Linked DNA regions of Arabidopsis thaliana. The protein of the gene in region 3 interacts with the protein of the main gene of each other region in a pairwise test. Each region holds a gene or a part of one and is shown on either strand. Other genes may lie near its edges.

Region 1 (6,316 bases), on a different chromosome or scaffold from region 3:
ACACAAAACATCGTATAATGTTAAAGATTAATTATATCTACGTTTATGTGGTCAAATATATTTCTCCAATTGGACGTTTCTAGGGTCCGGAATATATAAATCACGTGTTTGGAGAATAAATGATTAGAGATAAATACTCGTACAAGAGAAAATTTAAAAAGGGCTGTTCGATGACCTCAAGGGTCGGAATTCTTTTGATCGTTGGATCTTGGAATTATCGAACGAATGTGTAAGATTACACATGTTCATACTTATTGGTTACAAAGGTTTTTGCTGATCTGTCAGACCTAGTGGCTGAGTTGTCATTTGACACAAGTCACCAATTTAACAGAAGAGAGATATAGTCACTTGGCCAGTACGCAACCAAATGGGCAAATGGCTGATCAATGAAGAATCAAGAATGAATTATATGAATTAGAAGAAAAATAATTACAAAATCTTATTTAAATGTTGATATTTGATTTCTTCTTTCCATATTTTTAAAAGTTAAGTAAAAAGTTTGAATCGATATTTATATGAAAACGGATGAAATGATATATGAAAAAAGTACATGGGAGAATAAAAAAGATAGAAGCTACTTATTCAGGTAATGTGTGATGTATAATGAAAAATGAAGGAATTAAAAAGAAGATTATTATTGTGATCTACCATGTGTACACAAGCAACCGAAACAAATTTTGTTTATGTCCCCTAGTGCAAATTGTAGAGTATTCTATGAGTAATGTTTTTTATGGACAATGTTTGAATATCATTAGTTTTATACATGAAAACAGAAAAGATTTGTCAATGCCTTAGAGATCCACATGCAACCGTCTTTGTCGATCCAAAACGGAAAAGTATGGAGAGCGTTGGTCTGTGCAAGAAATTCATGAAAATATTTAAAATGTCTATTTTAAAATAATTATGTATTTGATAAATTAATAAATAACTAATTGTGATATTAATAGTTGTTAGGGACTATTACTTAGAGAAATTTGGGATATGGAGTAGTATTTTTGGACTTCCACATATGCATTTTTGACAGTACTTTTCAAGAAACCCTATTATGAAACCAAATTATACAAGTTGCACTATGCGCCCAAAGATTTTGGAACTATCGACGTAAAACATTTTATGTCTGCCACAAAAATTCTTAAAAGTTACCTTAATGTTTATGTAAATCATTTTTCTTTCCCTCTTCAACTTTACGTCAAAATCACATATTGATTTGTAATGAAAGAAATAAAAAAATTGAGTACAAATTAATAGCTAGATAATAGTCGATTTCTACACACACAAAAAGGGTTATATCCTTAGTGGATAAGAATTATTTCAATATAAAAAAATTCGTCGTTGTTCAACTACGTCAAAATCACAAACTAATTTCAAATTTATTTTGGGTATTAATATACATGAAAAACGAGTAAAACAAAAGTATGTATATAGCTAAAGACAAAGTAGATTTGTACACACAACAAAATGGACTAAAAATATTGATAAGAATAAATAAACTAATATAGGGTTTGTATACAGAATTATAACTTTCTTCCTTCTAACTTCAAAACCAACAATGGATTTCAAAACTATATACTGTATTCACTATTCAGATTGAAACATAGCTAGAGAATAGTAGATGCCTACACAAACACACATATCATGCCTTCATTTTAGGTTTTTTTTTTTTTTTTTTGATGACAACCTTTATTTTAGGTTATATTATTTAAGTAGGCAATATAATATAGACCAATGATTGTCTTATCTTTAGTGAGAATAGCATATGGTACCCATCCACCCACTGTGACTCCTCCTCACAACAAATAACATTTAAATTAAATGTTATGTTTGTATCACCATACATATAATGGTGTATATTGATGCATGCATGTATCATATGTAGAGAGAGATCTATAAAGCTTCATAAAAGTGTTTCTCTAGAAAAAACGACAAAATTCGCAGAGAAAATCCAAACCAAAAGTAGTTTTGTAACAGAGAGATAGATAGAAAGCTCTTGAAGATCTAACCAAAATCTACTTTTGTTCTTCTTCTTCTTCTTTTCATAAATTTTCGGAGTGGTCCTATTTATTGTTTCTTGGATCATTAGAGAGACAGCTATCGATGGATGAAGATGGAAACTTGCAGATTAGTAATAGTAATTACAATGGAGAAGAAGAAGGAGAAGATCCAGAGAACAACACTTTGAATCAACCACTGCTTAAGAGACATAGAACTCTTTCTTCAACTCCTCTTGCTTTGGTCGGTGCCAAGGTTTCACACATCGAGAGTTTAGATTATGAGTATGTCTTCTTTATCTTCTAGATCTTGATTATTTGATTCTTATTCTGTTTTCATATCGAATTTTACTTTTCTTGAATTGTTTTTTGGATGAGTCTTAATCTTGTTCTATAAAGAGTGACAAAAAAAAAACCTTATTCTATAAAGTTTTGAGCTTTACTCTGTTTCCAGATAAATCTTCACTTTCTGATGGTTTATTGAGTTTGTCATTATCTTTTTTTTTTGTAAAGTTTCAATCTTACTATTTTTTCAGCTAATTTTCATTTTAGAAAGAAATAAAATTGAATGGATTATTTGTCTCAATCTCTTTCTATAAATTTTTAAATCTTTATCCTGATTTTCAGAACATAAATTATGAAAATATTAGAGATAATTTTGACAAGAAGAATGAAAATATTAGTGATGGAGACATATGACCTGTTGTGATACTTCAATTATTTCTCACATTTTCAATTTGCCGCAAGCAATCATAAACCAAATCTTGTACAAGATCCAGATAATTAGGTTACCTTTTGTTTATTAGTTGTATGATAAGTCTTGGTCTCAAATCTCTTTCTATAACGTTTATTTATCTTTACTCTGTTTTCAGACAATCTTCATATATTTTTTTTTCTTAAACTTGGTGGAAAATAATCAGTGATGGAGACATATACTTGTATAGATTTTTGATTTGAGATTTTGGATTTCTGCAGAATAAACGAGAATGATCTGTTCAAGCATGACTGGAGAAGCAGATCAAAAGCACAAGTGTTTCAATACATATTCTTAAAATGGACATTAGCTTGTCTTGTTGGTCTCTTCACTGGTCTTATCGCTACTCTCATCAACCTTGCTGTCGAAAACATCGCCGGTTACAAACTTCTCGCCGTCGGCTACTACATTGCTCAAGATAGGTATTGACTCATCAGCCAAATCTTGAAAAACAAAACAGTCAAGATCAAGAAATTGAGATACCTTGTATGACAAGTTTATGTTTTTGAAATAGGTTTTGGACAGGTCTGATGGTCTTTACGGGGGCGAATTTGGGTCTGACTTTGGTGGCGACAGTACTTGTTGTTTACTTTGCTCCTACGGCGGCTGGTCCGGGGATCCCTGAGATTAAAGCTTACCTTAATGGCATTGACACTCCCAATATGTTTGGTTTTACCACCATGATGGTTAAGGTTTGTTTCTTAAACCTTCACAAAGTTTGAAGCTTCCCACAAAGTTAGTGTGAGATCTTTTGTTTTACTGATGGATTTTGCGGTTTTTTTCCGATTAGATTGTTGGAAGTATTGGAGCGGTTGCAGCTGGACTTGATCTTGGTAAAGAAGGGCCATTGGTTCATATTGGAAGTTGCATAGCTTCTTTGCTTGGTCAAGGTGGTCCAGATAATCACAGAATCAAATGGAGATGGCTTCGTTACTTCAACAACGATAGAGATCGAAGAGATCTTATTACATGTGGATCTGCCTCTGGAGTATGTGCTGCTTTCAGGTCACCAGTAGGAGGAGTACTTTTCGCTCTTGAGGAAGTCGCTACGTGGTGGAGAAGCGCTCTCTTGTGGAGAACATTCTTCAGTACAGCCGTTGTGGTGGTTGTATTAAGAGCGTTCATTGAGATTTGTAACTCCGGGAAATGCGGACTTTTCGGCTCAGGAGGACTCATTATGTTCGATGTGAGTCATGTAGAGGTTAGGTACCACGCAGCAGATATAATCCCAGTCACATTGATTGGAGTCTTTGGTGGCATTCTTGGAAGCTTGTACAATCATCTTCTGCATAAAGTTCTCCGGCTTTACAATCTCATCAACCAGTAAGTGTTTATGAACGTTCAAGAGTCTTAAAGATTTCTTTTTACTTAACATTGTTTGGTAAATTTTGGTGTAGGAAGGGAAAGATTCATAAGGTGCTTCTAAGTCTTGGGGTATCTCTATTCACATCAGTTTGCTTGTTCGGTCTTCCTTTCTTAGCGGAATGCAAGCCTTGTGATCCTTCTATAGACGAGATATGTCCAACAAACGGAAGATCAGGAAATTTCAAGCAATTCAACTGTCCAAATGGTTATTACAACGATCTATCCACTCTGCTTCTCACAACCAATGATGATGCAGTCAGAAACATTTTCTCTTCAAACACTCCTAATGAGTTTGGCATGGTTTCTCTCTGGATATTCTTTGGCCTCTACTGCATTTTGGGTCTTATAACATTCGGTATAGCGACACCGTCGGGTCTCTTCCTACCGATTATCCTCATGGGTTCTGCATACGGTAGGATGCTAGGCACAGCAATGGGGTCTTACACAAACATAGATCAAGGGCTTTACGCGGTTCTTGGTGCAGCTTCACTCATGGCTGGTTCAATGAGAATGACTGTTTCACTCTGTGTTATATTTCTGGAACTCACCAACAACCTTCTTTTGTTGCCCATTACAATGTTTGTGCTTCTGATAGCTAAAACAGTAGGTGACAGCTTCAATCTAAGTATCTACGAGATCATTCTCCATCTTAAGGGCTTACCTTTCTTGGAAGCAAATCCAGAGCCGTGGATGAGGAATCTCACTGTAGGTGAGCTTAACGACGCTAAGCCTCCGGTTGTAACACTTAACGGAGTAGAAAAAGTGGCAAATATAGTCGATGTACTAAGGAACACAACGCATAACGCATTCCCAGTCTTGGATGGAGCAGATCAAAACACTGGCACAGAGCTCCATGGTCTGATCCTAAGAGCTCACCTTGTGAAAGTTCTGAAAAAGAGATGGTTCTTGAATGAGAAAAGGAGAACAGAAGAGTGGGAAGTTAGGGAAAAGTTCACACCGGTTGAATTAGCTGAGAGAGAAGATAACTTCGATGATGTTGCAATCACAAGCTCAGAGATGCAATTGTATGTTGATCTTCATCCTTTGACCAACACTACACCTTACACAGTGGTGCAAAGTATGTCAGTGGCTAAAGCTTTGGTTCTGTTCCGGTCAGTGGGTCTCAGACATTTACTGGTGGTTCCCAAGATTCAAGCTTCAGGGGTAAGTTTGCTTTTTTACTCTCTTGATTCAAGATTCAAGAACACTACTAAACGTGTGTCTTGTGTTGTTGCAGATGTCACCTGTGATAGGGATCTTAACAAGGCAAGATCTCAGGGCTTATAACATTCTACAAGCATTTCCTCACTTGGATAAACACAAAAGTGGAAAAGCTAGATGAATAAGCCAAAATGCAAAGAGCGTTCACTATTATTTGGTTTGTGTGATTCGTGTGTCTTTCCACATTCTTAGTTGATATATATTCTGTCCAGTTTTGCTTGCATTCTTCCTTCAAGACCAAAAACAAATTATACCATTTGGTAGATTTGTGTTTTCTACTTGTAAATCTCCTTTTTTTTCCCCACGTTTTCAGTTTCAAAAGAAGAAGAATAAGAAATTTGAATACAGAACAAAACTTTGAAGCTTCCATGGAGTTCACAAATCTTTTAAGGAATTGTGTTAAATAAACATCTTTCTATGAGAGAACGGATATGAAAATATTACTTTCTTTTATCTTGGCAACATTAAAAGTTATTACATTAATGCAAGGATTTAGAATCAACCACCAATGTATATGTACAAATTAAATGAAAATCAATAGTCGAAAATTGTTAAAACGACTAAACTTTGGTGCCAGAAGCTAAGCTCCATACACGCAAGTTCCCACTCTTGTCTCCACTGAATAACAATCCTCCAGGACCAATTGTAAGTGTGCAGATCGTCTGCGTAGAGAACATCTTTCCTCTTTCTTCAAAAGATGGTAGGTCGAAAATGCCAACTGCTCCATTTTGGTAAGAGCAAAACATGATCGGTTTGGCCTCTGCATCGTGCATTCCACAGAGAGTATGAACACTCAGTTCTTGTTTGCGAGTTTGAACAACTTTCAAACTTTCATTTTCAGAACAAGCCCAAAGTTTTATGGTCCCATCCAAGGAAGACGATATCAGACACTTGTCCCAACATAAGAGTGAAGTGACAGTGCCGATATGTTGCTTCAGGGTCATTCTACATTGCAAGGTGTTGAGATCCCACACCTAGAACCACAGCA
Region 2 (4,767 bases), on a different chromosome or scaffold from region 3:
TGAGAGATTTGTTTTTGCAGAGGACGGAGATCAAATCCAGTATGAGCTTTTAGAATTCGTTGGTCGTCGTACTGTCCCGCAAGTTTTTGTTAACGGCAAGCATATTGGTGGATCAGATGGTATGATGAGCTCACTATCTCCTCCAAGTTTCATTCTTTTGTCCAAATTTCCCTTGTAACTCACAAGCCTTGGCTGTTTATCTTGTTGCTTCAGATCTTGGAGCTGCTTTGGAGAGTGGTCAGTTGCAAAAGCTTCTTGCTGCAAGTTGATATTTGAGGACCTCGAATGTGGAATCTACAGTATGTGATTTACAGGAATTAGAAATCTTTGCTAGTTGTAGACTGAATAAGCGAATTGATATGTATGACTCAGTTATGTAAGTTATGATGGCATTGATAAAGTCTTGATCTTTTGTTACTGCACTGCTCTGGTGATTGTTTCGCTTAAATAATCCATACTTGTGTGCCTTAGTGAATGGTTCATACGGCAAATATCAGATCATGGAAAGAAGAGCAAGTACAAGAACTTGTTATTGAAATTTTACCACAATGGTAATATACTATTATGGTGCTAGTTCATGATTCTGTTGCAGCACATGACTCTGTCATTAATCGAAGATTTACTCATTAGGACTACAATTCTTGCCTTCAGGGTACAGAGAAGATTATAGAGAAGAACTAACAGCATTATTGCTTCTATCTATATAAAAAAAAGCTGATCAAAATTCCCAAATTCATGGTTCTTGGTTCTCTTGACTGTTCTTGATAAATCCATTGTGTTTAAAACTGACTTAGTCATCGCTTTGAATTGGCTACTATTCAAGTTGATCAGTATTCGCTTCGAAATGGCTTGTAGGACTTTAGATCAAGAAGTACTCCAGCTATGGACCCTGCAGCTGCAGCAATGCTAACTACTAGACACCCTAAGCTGAAGACTTGAAGGCAAACCCATCTGGTGCTCCATCTAGGTATCTTCTTCTGCGCGATGTACATTTCCACTGGAAAATACACCGTCAATGGCCAAAACCCTAGTGCCCCGAGCAGACCCACAACGTCGTTGAAAAACGGAAGAAGCATTGAGATAACTGTCGTTATGATCACAAACACTGTCCTCCATATCAACCTGAGTAAGCCATTCCACGCCACACAGAAGCTTTGATTATTACATACACATCATGTTTAAAACTCAGATCCCATTAGTTTAAAGGCAAGATTTGTACCTGAAGACATTCAAGCGGAGAGGCTTGAAACCAGGAATTGGAATTTTGATATCTTTTGCAATGAACTCACTATCAGGGAATTGAATGGAAGCTTGCTTCTCGATGAAAGCAAACAGAGGTTGGCAATAGACTTGGTATGCACCAATAAGGTGAATCACAATGGCTGCATTTGCAATGTCAAGAAGCCAATAAGGATTATAAAACCCGAAACCGGTTAAGAGATTTCCCGGAGACAAGTCTCCAAAGGCTGCATATCCCATACATCCACACAACATATAGAACATAGTCGTTACACTGACGCTCACAAGTGTTGCCTTCTTCATCGTCTTCTCTTCTGATGGTGGTGACTTCACTGTGTCCTGTTTCAGATCCCAGAATAAAAAAAGCTTCATGATGGGACCAGTAATTAATGGCTTTGATCATCAAGACTTGTAAAGAAGGTATAAGTACCTGAATCTCGATGAGGATAATGGAGTAAGAGTAAGCAAAAGCAATGTCTCCAAGAGCTTGAAAGGTCCTCCATATCTTCTGTGTCTCTGTTACTGCTCCTATGCTAATCCCAGTGAGACTTCCCTTCACCTTCCCATTAACTGATGAAACCAAAACACATAAAACCTATTAGTTTTTTACCTATGAAAGTTCTTATTTAAGACCCTAGAAGCTTTATGGTTCAAGAAACGAACCGACAACTTGGGCTATGCCGAGGGCGAGACCGGCTGAGGAATAAGTGAAGGACATAACGGCGGCGAGGATTGAGAGCCACCAAAGTTGATCAAAATCTGGAATCTGAGAGAATAGAATCTGGACTAATCCAAAAGCTATCATGTAAGGATTACTGTTCATGTGACATGGATCTTTCCCTCCACTCTTGTGGAAACAGTTTGATCTCTTTATTGCCCTGTTTTTCAAAAACAAAATTTTGTTTATTTTTTATTATCATCAAAACCTATTTGGTCCATTACCTAACTTCGTAGTTTTAAGAGTTAATTAGTGAGAACACTCACATCATGCTTATAGCTGAAGCAATTGTGTAGCCAATAGCAACACCAAAGATATTAAGATACTGAACAATCCCACATAGCGTCACCTTCACGCCACCTATACAGAACAATGAAAAATGTTAATGCTCTGTTCTGATCTGATCTCCATTGTCCGATTTCTACTTTGAAGTTTTGTATTTACCGAGATTTGATCGGACAGCATCCATATAAGTGTAGTTCCTCTTGCCGGAGATAGGGTCGCCGGAGCGGTAACAAGCAGCAAGAAGAGAAGAAGTGAAATAAGTGACGGCAGAGAAGAGCAACATCACCACCGGTCCGGCGAGCCAACCTAGCTGCGCCGTAGCCCACGCTAGTGACAAAACTCCCGAACCTATCACTGCCGTTATTATGTGTGCACTCGCCGTCCAAACACTCCCTAAAACCCAAAATTTAAAAACTTTCAACTTTCTCGTTTTTTCAACATAACTAAATCAGAGCAGGTTTCGAGTTCAAATTAATATTTTTTTGAATAATTAGAGAACCAAGTCTCAATATGAATTAAAGAGAAAGAGAGAAACATTGTTACCAGTTCTTTTGTTTTTCCCGTCGTCGTCCAAGTACTTGGAGCCGCCGGTTTGTGGCATATCGACGGCGAGAACTGTTTGGTGGTTTTGAACCATCTTTTGTTTGTTTTGCTCTGTTTTTTTGGTTCTTCGTTCAATCTATGAAGTTACATGCAGAGTAAGTGTTTGAAAGAGTTGATCTTTAGAAGGTAAGGGAAATGTTTAATGACTTTGTTAAAGAACTGTCTTGTGGATGAAGATAAACTGAGAGTGGAGTGCAGATTTATATACACAGAAACTGGTAAAAACACTCATTTGAGGCAAACACAGTAAAAGGTAAAAAGTGTATTAAAAAAAATATATCTGTCTTGGTAAAAAGTTGGTAGGACCACTATTACTCAAGTGTTACTATTGAAAAATTTGACTTCATGATTTATAATTTTATATGAATGATTCGATACCAATTGGATAAAAACAAAAGAAAAGAGAAAATATGGGCAATGGAAAATTGGAAGTCCAAGATGATACCATCGTTTTCATTTGGACTTAAAATGTCATTGTTCAGCTTTTTTGAAAGAAAAAAACAAACATTCATGTACGTGTGTGTTTGAAGCTTAGTGTTATTTTCACTTACAACTAGATTTTATTAGAGTATTTTATGAGATTAGAGAAAATAAAATGTTGTTTTAAAAATAATAGGCATTTTGGTTATATCATTTGATTATTTACGTATTTCGCTAATTTTAAATTTTATTAACCGTGGACAAACTAAATTTATTTAGAAAACAGCTTGGTTTTTTCTTGAATATTTCAATGTAAAGTGTTATCGCATTAAGATGTTAAAAGAACATTCATGGAATCATGACATATATATGGAGAAATCTATGCCGACTTTAAATAATGAGTACACGCAATCATGTGTAGATTTCAAAATGATAACTCAAAACCAAAAGGTGATTTTTATAGTATGAGCAATAGTAACGCACATATACTATATCTTACCTAGAATCCGAAAGTATATCACCCCACCATATAAGTTTCTGTAGGTAACTAACTTATGAGGCGTGTAAGCTATATGTTCTTCTCGAAATGAAATATTTTGATTACTTTGCCAACTAAACTCATTTAAACATAAATGACATACACAAACTTGTATTGGCTTGATTCGTGGGAAACCAAATATCCTTTAAGGACTTACGAGAAGATTTGTATTCAGACAAGTCATCATTCAAAGGAAATAGTCTCCAAATATAAAGGGAATTATATTCATAAAAATAGAATCTATATATACATTGTTGCAGTCATTTTGTGAAATAAATCCTGGAGTTGGAATTTATTTACAATGGCTACCATTGGCTTTTAATTATTGTTTTTTTAGCAATAAATTGATTAACAAATAAAAAAACATTCGAAATATATTCCAATCCCATATATCACGCAGATTTTTCCAAAATTTGAAATAGATTTCGACAACTATTTAAAACAAAAAATGTTTGACAACCCAAAAGACAATTGCAATCCCTTAAAATGAGCGAAACGCAACTAAATATATTTCTTATCTATTCACTAAATCTTATGTCTCCAAAATTTGAACTACATTTCGACAACTATTTAAAACAAAATTTTGTTTGACAAACTAAAACACAATTGCAATCCCGTAAAATATTTATTTTAATTATAAATTTAAATTAGCGGGGTACCGCGGTTTATTTTTACAGGACGAGTTTGGTGGAACGGGTTTAGAAGGACGTTACTTAATAACAATTATAAACTATAAAATAAAAATATTTTATAGATAGACATAATTTGTAAAATTTTATATATACTAATTTAAAAAAATAAATTGTCTCCGCGGTGTACCGCGGGTTAAAATCTAGTTCATTCTTTACAATTCCAAAGTTTATAACCGCAAAAATGCATACAAAATGTACCAGTTTTTTTATTTTTTTTTCCATGTTTACATTGAAAGATAATTAAAAGTAATAACAAAGATCTAGGAGATCAT
Region 3 (4,936 bases):
ATGTAAAATTAACAGTGGGAAGCGGGTTGCACCGAACCAAGCCCATGTAGCTAAACACTCACACGCGCGACGCATGTCTGAAAAGTGGTAATTGAATTTTGTTTAGAATGATTCTACAGAGGTTGAATTTGGTAAATGAATCAGAGGAATATTAAGCATTTGAGCATAATTTCCAATTTGGTCAGATTATGATATATGTAAATATGTCCATGATTCATTTTCTGTTTTTGGGTTCTCTTTGTTCATTTATTAAGTCATGGGCTGAAGTTTTCATATTTTAAGTCATGGGCTGAGTTCTCAAGGACTAAAACTGGTATTGATATTATGATCTGTTAAAAGCCAATTCATTTAAGGTGTTCAAAATCTAAACTGAATAATTGCGTTAAATTAAGCCGGACATGTTTCAATCAAAAGTCAATAGAATGTGTCAAAATACTCTGGGTACTTGGGTAGTATTAGTAACATTAACTTACAAGGATTTTTCTCTATATAAAAATACAGAGTACTAGTTTTGATTTTATCTGAGTGAGAACTTTCTAATAAAACTCTAATCGAAAACAATTAATATTTTGTATAAAATGGAGTGTAGAACCTAAATATTTTGTATTGCTTGGATATATAGTTTTTTTTCTTCTTAACATGGATATATAAGTTCTATTTCGTACATATTTCCCCTAATTTTAATGTTGAATTTTGGAAAACTTTTGTTGGATAGTGACATGAAGACCCTAATTTTAATCATAACATTTTGGAAAACTTGATTGGGTGAGTGATATGGAGGTGATGTTAACGTATGTTTGGTATCAATAGTTGGTCCAATTAGGCCCAAAGAGTCAAAAAAGGTGCCCAAGTGTTGTCAAAAGAGAAAACAATTAAGAATAGGGCAAAGCTTGGCCAGCAAGATTTAGTGGTCATTTCCTAGAAACGTGTCCAAGAATTTATAAAGATGGGTTGTCTTATAAATACATATCGTTCACGTAATTACCTGAGATCAAATCTTAATCATATCATTCATCGTATATAGACTCCAAACACGTTTTTCAAACTCCTATGATCATGTGTTCTCTCTTTGCCTCCGTCTTTGATTGCTTTGTTCCAAAATCAGACTCAAAGATTAGCTCAACTGATGAGAGTGACTTGAAAGTCCTGTCCTCAAAGAAACCAAAAAGCAAATCCCCGAGAGCTCCGATTATGGTGTCTTACTTTCCCGCCGGTTCAAACCTTTCGCGTCTATAAGTGCCAAATAGAAGAGAAGAGAAGATGAAGTATTGGGATGTTGATTTTGATATAAACGAAAGAAGTTTTTGGTTGTAGACATGTTGTATGCGCAGGCTTTAATTTTATGTTTTATTTAATTATGTACAAATAGACCATTTAGATTGATAGCATCATATATATGCTTTGTATTTAAGACCAAATAAAAGATTAATGTTTATATACATGCGTAAAAATGTTAAGAGCTTAGTTAGTATCATTTTCAAAAACTGATTGTCACTTGAGCTTTTATTTTTCTTATTTTTTTAATTAAGAAAAGTTGTGGCCCTCAAAAAGTTACATGGAATCGGAACAGGAAAAAAAAAATGTCGAAAACTGATTAATCTAGGCAACGTTATCGCATTTTCATATCTTACAAATCCCTTTTTCAATTCAGATTTGGTAGAAATGCAAGGAGAGTTCCATAGTGTATATGTAAAATTTGTATAAAACGTCTAGAAGAATTACAATGCTGAATTTGTTGGAAGCTCTGTTTTTCTCTGCTTAGACGTTTCCAACGTGTTTTGGGTTTCTCTGATCACTGTAAAGCCTAAACCACAAGAGAAGAAAAACCACGAAGCTTTGGGCTTTAAGGCCTTTTTGGGCCCTAGCCACAATAATGGAAGCCTATCAAGAAAAGACAAGACAAGACAATAAGACAGAAGAGGACAAGTGTTTAAAGTGGAAGTTATCTTTCTCACGTGGTCTAAAGAAAGGTTAAAAAAAAAGAGGGAAAAAAAAAAGAAGATGAGAGAAAGCAAAGTGTTGAAGACTTTTTAGAAAGCAGAAAAAAAAGCAGAGAGTGTATTCAAAGTCGGAAAGAAACCCTAAAGAAGAGGATTATGGGTGCTGTATCGATGGAGTCGCTTCCTTTAGGTTTCAGATTCAGACCTACCGATGAAGAGCTCGTCAATCACTACCTCCGTCTCAAGATCAACGGACGTCACTCCGATGTCCGTGTCATCCCTGATATCGATGTCTGCAAATGGGAACCTTGGGATCTTCCTGGTTCGTCTCTTTATTCTCTCAAAATTTGATTCCTTTTATTCTCAGATTCTGTTTTCCCTCTCAAAGATTCCACCTTTTTTTTCTTTACTCAATTGGAAACAAATCTGATTGTCGGCAGCTCTCTCGGTGATTAAGACGGATGATCCAGAGTGGTTCTTTTTCTGCCCTCGTGATCGGAAATACCCTAATGGTCATCGCTCTAACAGAGCAACTGACTCTGGCTATTGGAAAGCTACTGGTAAAGATCGTAGCATCAAGTCTAAGAAGACTTTAATCGGTATGAAGAAGACTCTTGTCTTCTATCGTGGACGAGCTCCTAAAGGTGAGCGGACTAATTGGATTATGCACGAGTATCGTCCCACTCTTAAGGATCTTGATGGCACTTCCCCTGGCCAAAGCCCTTACGTTCTTTGTCGCCTCTTCCACAAGCCTGATGATCGGGTTAATGGTGTCAAGTCCGATGAAGCAGCTTTTACGGCCAGCAACAAATACTCACCTGATGATACATCATCTGATCTTGTTCAAGAAACACCTTCCTCTGATGCTGCTGTTGAGAAACCATCAGATTATTCAGGTGGATGCGGTTATGCTCATAGTAATAGTACCGCAGATGGGACAATGATTGAGGTATGAATGGAAACTCTTGAATAATTAATTAGGCTTTTTTGAGTGACTTGACTAATTTTGAGTTTTGTGTTCATAGGCACCTGAAGAGAATCTTTGGTTATCTTGTGACCTTGAAGATCAAAAGGCACCACTACCGTGTATGGATTCTATATATGCTGGTGATTTCAGTTACGATGAGATTGGATTCCAATTTCAAGATGGTACCAGCGAACCAGATGTATCACTAACAGAATTGTTGGAGGAGGTGTTCAATAACCCTGATGACTTCTCTTGCGAGGAATCGATCAGTCGAGAGAATCCAGCAGTCTCACCAAATGGGATATTTTCATCTGCTAAAATGCTGCAGTCTGCAGCACCAGAGGATGCTTTCTTCAACGACTTCATGGCTTTCACTGATACAGATGCTGAGATGGCGCAATTGCAGGTGAGCACAAAGATACATATTTTGAGGCCTATACAATTTTAGAAGTATCCAAATTATTTTGCTTTAAGTAGGCTAGAAACCTCTAGATCAGTTATCTTTACAATCACTCTTGACATAAGTAAAATGACAATTTTTATCTTTTGTTTGATCAGTATGGTTCAGAAGGTGGAGCTTCTGGTTGGCCAAGTGACACTAATTCATACTATAGTGATTTGGTTCAGCAAGAGCAAATGATCAATCATAACACAGAGAACAACCTCACAGAAGGGAGAGGGATAAAGATCCGGGCTCGACAGCCTCAGAACCGGCAGAGTACAGGATTGATAAACCAGGGTATTGCTCCAAGGAGAATCCGTCTGCAGCTGCAGTCTAACTCTGAAGTAAAAGAACGAGAGGAGGTGAATGAAGGACACACTGTTATTCCCGAGGTACGAGACTAGTGATTCCAAAAGTTGTGTCTTAGACATCAATAACATAAAGGATGCATCTTTTTAATTTGTTGTTAATGGTGGGGATGTGCAGGCCAAAGAAGCTGCAGCTAAATACTCAGAGAAGAGTGGTTCTTTGGTTAAACCTCAAATAAAGCTCAGGGCGCGGGGAACTATAGGCCAAGTAAAAGGAGAGAGATTTGCAGACGACGAGGTAAGAATGAGTGAACTTGTTTACACATGAATGAAGAAAGAGTATAGTAGTAAGCTCTACTAAATACTATAGAATTAGAAAGAAAAAAAAGAGAAAGCAATCAGTAGAGCATGTGAGATCAGCTAGTAATGATAAAAGAAACTGAGAAGTATCTTTGTCTAAAGAGAAGTTTGTTGTGGTTACAGGTACAGGTGCAGAGCAGAAAGAGACGAGGAGGGAAGCGATGGAAGGTGGTTGCAACGGTAATGGTGGCTGTGATGGTTGGGGTAGGGATGGGTATATGGAGGACACTGGTGAGTTCATGACACATGAGACACAAAGAGAGAGAGAGAGAGAATCAAATGTAGTTTAATGTAATTAGGGATGATGCAATGTTAGCATGTTTGTGTGTTGTAACTTAAAAACTTATTTAGGAATCTGATAAAAGTTACTGTTGAATTTACACGGATGGTCAAGATTAAATGTACCAACATCTTAATTATCTACGGTCAAGATTAAAAATACCAACATCTTAAATTAACACCGCATCAAAGAATTATCTCAATCGTCGTCTCTCCCCAATTCAAAAAAAGAAATAACCTAAACGTGTTCACACAGAGGTAAGCTCGCTCCTACTCGCCGCCTCATCTGAGTCAACTCCGAGTCAGCTATTTTTCCCCACCGGATTCTCACTTTTGTTCCTCTCTGTGACAGATCTCGAGATGAAAGATAACCAAACGGAAGTTGAATCGAGGAGCACTGATGATAGGTATCTTTATATTTATCCGTAATCTCGATTCTTAGATTCAATTTGTTTCCGTAGTTTTGAAATCGTCTTTTATGATTCTCAGATTGAAAGTTAGAGGGAACAAAGTTGGAAAGAAAACAAAGGATCCAAACAGGCCTAAGAAACCACCAAGTCCTTTCTTCGTCTTCCTGTAAATAAAAATCACTAATCTCTCTTCTTCTTTTTTCTTCACTAATTTGATTACAGTAATTAAT
Region 4 (5,322 bases), on a different chromosome or scaffold from region 3:
GTTGACTCGGCCTAATTAACCACCGTTAAAAATCCTTCTAACAGCGTAATTGACAGCCGTTTTAGTCCGTTAAGCATCTGTTACTATAGTCTTACGACGCCGTTTTCGTGCTAAAGAGAAATCAAAATCGAGAATATAATTTCTCAAAACAAAATCAATTACCCTAAACCCAAATCGAAACCTAATCCTGCCCCCAAAATCAAAATCGAAACCCTAATTGCTTCAATTCGTTTTCTGAAATGCCATTAGTTAGAAAGAATGGCGTCGTTATGATGATTGGATCTCCAATGCTTCACGAATCAGAGAATTTGGTGGGAGATGGAGTTGAAGCACTACCGCGAGGAGAAAGAGATGAAATTGGAGAAGAAGTTGTGGGTGAAACGAATGTGGTATCTGAGTCTTGTGGCGGAGAAGAGGGAGCACAAGATGCAGCTAAAGCAACGCCGGAAGGAGAAGCAGATCGAATTGGAGAAGAAGCTCGAGGTCAAGCGAATGTAGTATCAAATGTTGATGTGGCAGATGTGGCCGAAGTTCGTTCTCCACTTAGGCGAAGTAAACGAAGGCAAATCAGATTGGAAGAAGAAGCTCACGATGCAGTTGAACCAATGCCGGAAGGAGAAGCAAATCAAATTGGAGAAGAAGCTCGAGGTCAGTCCGTTGATGTGGGAAATGCAACCGCAGTTTGTTCTCCACTTAGGCGAAGTAAACGAAGGCAAAATAGATTGGAAGAGGAAGCTGATGTTGCAGTTGAAGAATCAACTCGTCGTGAAATTGGACAAGAGGAAGAGGAAGCTTTAGGTGAAACGTCTTGTGGCGGAGAAGAGGAAGCTCACGAGGAAGCTCACATTGAATCAGGCGTTGAAGTTCGTGCTCCACTTAGACGAAGTAAACGAAGGAGAATCAGAGATGAAGAAGAGGAGGATTTAGAGGCTGAAGTTCCTGCTCTTGATGAAGACGATGACTGTGCAGTCCAAGGAGATGAAGACTGCGATGAGGTTGATGATGCAGTAGATACTAATAGAGAAGAAGATGATACTGCTGGATTAGGTGTCGAAGAAGATGGTAACTTAGACATGGAAAGAGATTTTCCAGAGGCTAATGGAGAAGAAGAAGCTAGTGACAATGACGGCGGAGATGATATATGGGATGAAGACAAGATTCCAGATCCTTTGTCCTCTGACGATGAAGATGATGATAGAGTAGAGGCAGCTCGAAATGATCGTCGTATCACCTTAACGGATGTTCTATTGATAGCACAAAACGTCGTCGTATTGATAGCACAAAACGTCGTCGTATCACCTTAACGGATGTTCTATAACGGCTGTCAATTACGCTGTTAGAAGGATTTTTAACGGTGGTTAATTAGGCCGAGTCAACGCAAACTTAAAGGTTAAAACAGAAGTCAACTTTTTGTTGAGAGTTAAAACGGCCATTTCACGAGTTCACGGTTAATTTGGCCATTTTTTGTTAGTTGAGGTATTAAATAACATTTTTCCCAAAAATTATATATTATTTTAATATTTTATTTAATATTTATATTCTGTAGTCTTTATTATGATTGGTTGAACTTTTTAAAAATAAATATTTTTAATCTGCTTGTTTTTAACTGTCATATATATATTAAGATGTCAAAAATAACCGGAAATATTTGAAATATGGCTTATAGAAAAGTTGCGTAGGTCCTATAGGGACAGAGTGTAGCACAATGTGGACGACATTTTCAGTTTTTTTCTTCAAACGGCTATATATGATCTAAAACATGGTGGAGCTTCGCTGTCAAATCTCTCTGTTTTTTTTAATAATCAAACTAATATTATACTTTTTCAAATAAGCAAATAATTACGAGATTAGCCTCGCACTGAACTTCAATTCTCTCTTTCCTTTTTTCCGTTCGATGAGAGCTTAAGCTCTGCCGCGTTTTCGTTCTCCGATCTTTTTCCATTTTTATCAGTTTCTTCTCTTCCAAATTAGGGTTTTTCTTTTCAGTCTTTGGGAATGATTTTGATGCGGTGAAAAAGTTTTTTTTTTTTGAGGGGGAAGGATTTCTGGGTTTGCTCTTAGGGTTTTGTCTTTTCAATCGCCGGAGCCTGAAATAATCCGGCAGATATGGCGTCTGAATTGCCGATGAGCCCTCATTTGGAGCAGATTCACGGAGAAATCCGTGACCATTTCCGAGCCCTCGCGTATGCTTTCTCTTAACTATCTCTTCAATTTTTCATTCGAGTGTACGTTATCGACAAGACTATAGATTTTTTGGGAACTAGATTTGTTAGGAGATTGAATTTGAGTTTCACAGACGAGAAAATAAGAGTTGGGATAGTGAATCTGAGGCACAAGTCTTATGATTTTTTTCTTTAAAAGTGAGATTCAACATTGATATGCAGGAATGGCTTCCAGAGGTTGGATAAGATCAAGGATTCTAGTAGACAAAGCAAGCAACTCGAAGAACTTGCTGAGAAGATGAGAGACTGTAAAAGGTATTCACTTTCTCCAAGATATCAGTTTTTTTACTACTCGAACTTTCCGGTGTTAGATGAGGGATTGAATTTTTCATGAGAACTAAAATGTTGTAAGTCTATTGGTGATTATGTTTTTGCATTGTGGGAAAATGTATTATTTGAGATGGATGAGATGTGTAATCATGAGTAGGAAAGAGTTTTTTTTGGTGATCAACGATTTTTAAATCTCTGCGCTTCACGTTAGGTTGGTTAAGGAGTTTGATCGTGAACTCAAAGATGGGGAAGCTCGAAATTCTCCTCAAGTAAATAAGCAATTGAATGATGAGAAACAATCTATGGTGAGTTTACTTCTTATTACTTATAATAATCTGTGTGTTGATGAAATCTATGGAGGACATGATACTTTTTAAGCTTCGTGTTAGTGTGATATTTCTGAAGTTAGTATTGGAATATAAAGTTCAGCTTTCTCGCCTCACTTGAGTTTTGGGTCACCATCGAAAAGCATGTTGATTCAGTGGTATATCAATGTAGATTCTGAGTGTTTTTGTGTGAATCTCTCGATTTATCTACCTTAATTTCTCGCTAGCATCTGGTTGTTATGTCTTTTCAAAATCTGCTTGTTGATATTTCCAGTGATTTATGTGACAGATTAAGGAACTCAACTCTTATGTTGCACTAAGAAAAACGTAAGTACGTCTACTTCCAAGGAGCTTCATTGTCTGTCCCTATATTTGATTTTCTCATATACCAATCCTTTTAGCAAATGTATGTTTTTTTATATAGAGATATAGATCGGTATGTGTTAATACATTCCCATTTGTTGTGTGACTTCAGGTACTTGAATACACTCGGCAACAAGAAAGTTGAACTTTTTGATACTGGAGCTGGAGTCAGCGGTGAACCCACAGCTGAAGAAAACGTCCAAATGGCTTCAAGTGAGTCTGTCTAAATATGTCATCTATTCAGTTGATTTTCTTCTGCAACCAGAAAAAGTCCAAAATTTGACACATTGGAAGCTTAAACTGTTTTCTATATATCAGAATGGGTAGGATAGTTAGTCCTGCACTTTTGGCTAATGGTTTGGTATCATTTGATGTGTTTCAGTAAGTTTCTAGTGGAGAGACATATATGACAGTAACTGTTTACCTACTTTACCTTTTAATGTGTTTATGTTGGTGGTTTGATGTTAGTAAATTTCTAGTGGAGGATCATATGTGGCTGGATTTCTAATATCTACATGTGTTCCAAGAATAATTGTCCTTGAACTATCCTGTGGAAAAAGTGTGGAACTTTATGTTGACTCTTGTTTTATCGTTTATATATATGTAGCAATGTCAAACCAAGAGCTTGTCGATGCTGGAATGAAAAGGATGGACGAGACTGACCAGGCTATTGAACGTTCTAAACAGGTAAGTTACAGAAAGAAGTATATCTCACTCAGTCTTTGATGCTATGTCTCTAGTAACATCCAGTGTTTCTTTCCAGGTTGTGCATCAGACACTCGAAGTTGGCACTCAAACTGCATCTAACTTAAAGGGACAGGTAACACAAAGCATTCACCATCTCTTCTCGATATTCTTATCAGGTGTAGTTCCAAATATGCTGACCTAAATATTTTCAGACGGATCAAATGGGCCGCGTTGTAAACGACCTAGACACAATTCAGTTCTCTCTTAAGAAAGCTTCGCAGCTGGTGAAAGAGATAGGAAGACAGGTTTGTATGATCTCTCACAGGACATAAGATTCTAAGACACTGCAAAAGCTAAAATTGTGTCTAACTATTATCACCGTTTCCTTTCAACCTCAATTCTTTCTTGTCACAGGTAGCTACAGATAAATGCATAATGGCGTTCCTGTTTCTGATTGTCTGTGGTGTTATAGCTATAATCATTGTGAAGGTAACCATTGCACTCTCCAACTTTTCTCATTACGGCCCAAATAAAGCTATGATTCCTTAAGCAAGTTTTAACACTGCTTAAATAAAAACACAGATCGTGAACCCAAACAACAAAGACATCAGAGACATCCCTGGACTAGCTCCTCCAGCGCAATCGAGAAAGCTCTTGTACTTCAGAGAATAGCCTTTTGGCAGGGCCGAGAGGGAAGGTTTGGTGCATATTACACTTGCTGTTGCGTGTGTGTTCATTCTTTCATGAAAGAGGGCTTGTTTATGTCATTTAAATTTGAGCTTTCATTAGAGTTTTGTATCATATATCATCATTCTTTAACTTATGACCACATGTTGTATAATTTTATACCAAGTTCAATATATTTTATAAGATCCGTTTTATTGTCCAAGACATCTAAGGAGCCAGTGGTAATCATATTATAGTAATAGATATGTTCTACCCTTAGTTTTTTGAACATTATAATGATCCACAAATTTGTAAAATCAGTTAAACAAAATTTATAGTATTTCCAGCTAATATAGAAAGGGAAAATATCAAATACAGGGCCACACACTCAGAAGTCAGAACTGTTTGGATCATAAAGAGTAGACCAAGGCCGGGTCCGGAGCTACGCTGTCTAGTGAAAACATTTATAACTTTCAGAGACCCTACAAATAATTTTGCGTTTCTTTTTTTTGTAGAACTAACAATGTTAAGTAATCCGAGGTAAATTCTATTTAAAACTGTTTGGGTTCCAAAAGAGATAAAAGACATTTTCACCTGAGAAGTGAAACAACATAACGGTCATTCTCAGACTGCCGTGTGGTTTCCAAGCTGAGTCCGGCCAATATGCGACAACCGCGACGTTATCAGAGGGGCTTCTTCATCGTTAAGCTCCAATCCTCTGGGGCTCCCCCCATCTGACGAATTCTTCTCCTTCCAGTCCTGCTCAATTATTTGGACCAAATCCTTAT

The links.
Region 1: the proteins of NTL9 (region 3) and CLC-A interact in a two-hybrid assay, tested with the Arabidopsis thaliana proteins (one large-scale study listed by BioGRID).
Region 2: the proteins of NTL9 (region 3) and AAP3 interact in a two-hybrid assay, tested with the Arabidopsis thaliana proteins (one large-scale study listed by BioGRID).
Region 4: the proteins of NTL9 (region 3) and NPSN12 interact in a two-hybrid assay, tested with the Arabidopsis thaliana proteins (one large-scale study listed by BioGRID).

Annotation. Positions count from the first base shown.
Region 1 is NC_003076.8:16,380,778-16,387,093, reverse strand, and holds CLC-A (chloride channel A), read left to right. Parts: upstream 1-1,669; 5' UTR 1,670-2,094; coding exon 2,095-2,273; intron 2,274-2,589; exon of another isoform or gene 2,590-2,963; coding exon 2,964-3,164; intron 3,165-3,256; coding exon 3,257-3,434; intron 3,435-3,532; coding exon 3,533-4,065; intron 4,066-4,139; coding exon 4,140-5,271; intron 5,272-5,344; coding exon 5,345-5,449; 3' UTR 5,450-5,778; downstream 5,779-6,316. Other genes in the region: AT5G40880 (WD-40 repeat family protein / zfwd3 protein (ZFWD3)), read right to left, coding at 5,889-6,302. UniProt on the Arabidopsis thaliana protein: Voltage-gated chloride channel that could play a role in the regulation of nitrate content.
Region 2 is NC_003070.9:29,074,374-29,079,140, forward strand, and holds AAP3 (amino acid permease 3), read right to left. Parts: upstream 3,018-4,767; 5' UTR 2,880-3,017; coding exon 2,786-2,879; intron 2,636-2,785; coding exon 2,402-2,635; intron 2,318-2,401; coding exon 2,224-2,317; intron 2,118-2,223; coding exon 1,903-2,117; intron 1,810-1,902; coding exon 1,670-1,809; intron 1,579-1,669; coding exon 1,220-1,578; intron 1,123-1,219; coding exon 828-1,122; 3' UTR 506-827; downstream 1-505. Other genes in the region: AT1G77370 (Glutaredoxin family protein), read left to right, coding at 1-119, 214-269. UniProt on the Arabidopsis thaliana protein: Amino acid-proton symporter. Stereospecific transporter with a broad specificity for GABA, tryptophan and both neutral and basic amino acids. High affinity transport of cationic amino acids.
Region 3 is NC_003075.7:16,887,905-16,892,840, reverse strand, and holds NTL9 (NAC transcription factor-like 9), read left to right. Parts: upstream 1-2,039; 5' UTR 2,040-2,096; coding exon 2,097-2,262; intron 2,263-2,380; coding exon 2,381-2,889; intron 2,890-2,965; coding exon 2,966-3,313; intron 3,314-3,465; coding exon 3,466-3,741; intron 3,742-3,835; coding exon 3,836-3,955; intron 3,956-4,121; coding exon 4,122-4,307; 3' UTR 4,308-4,436; downstream 4,437-4,936. Other genes in the region: HMGB5 (high mobility group B5), read left to right, coding at 4,657-4,703, 4,786-4,872. UniProt on the Arabidopsis thaliana protein: Transcriptional activator activated by proteolytic cleavage through regulated intramembrane proteolysis (RIP). Calmodulin-regulated transcriptional repressor. Binds several synthetic promoters with randomly selected binding sites.
Region 4 is NC_003070.9:17,808,441-17,813,762, reverse strand, and holds NPSN12 (Putative plant snare 12), read left to right. Parts: upstream 1-1,656; 5' UTR 1,657-2,106; coding exon 2,107-2,183; exon of another isoform or gene 2,184-2,384; coding exon 2,385-2,477; intron 2,478-2,703; coding exon 2,704-2,797; intron 2,798-3,107; coding exon 3,108-3,145; intron 3,146-3,293; coding exon 3,294-3,394; intron 3,395-3,788; coding exon 3,789-3,868; intron 3,869-3,944; coding exon 3,945-4,001; intron 4,002-4,080; coding exon 4,081-4,173; intron 4,174-4,282; coding exon 4,283-4,357; intron 4,358-4,450; coding exon 4,451-4,540; 3' UTR 4,541-4,775; downstream 4,776-5,322. Other genes in the region: AT1G48230 (nodulin MtN21 /EamA-like transporter family protein), read right to left, coding at 5,159-5,293. UniProt on the Arabidopsis thaliana protein: Vesicle trafficking protein that functions in the secretory pathway.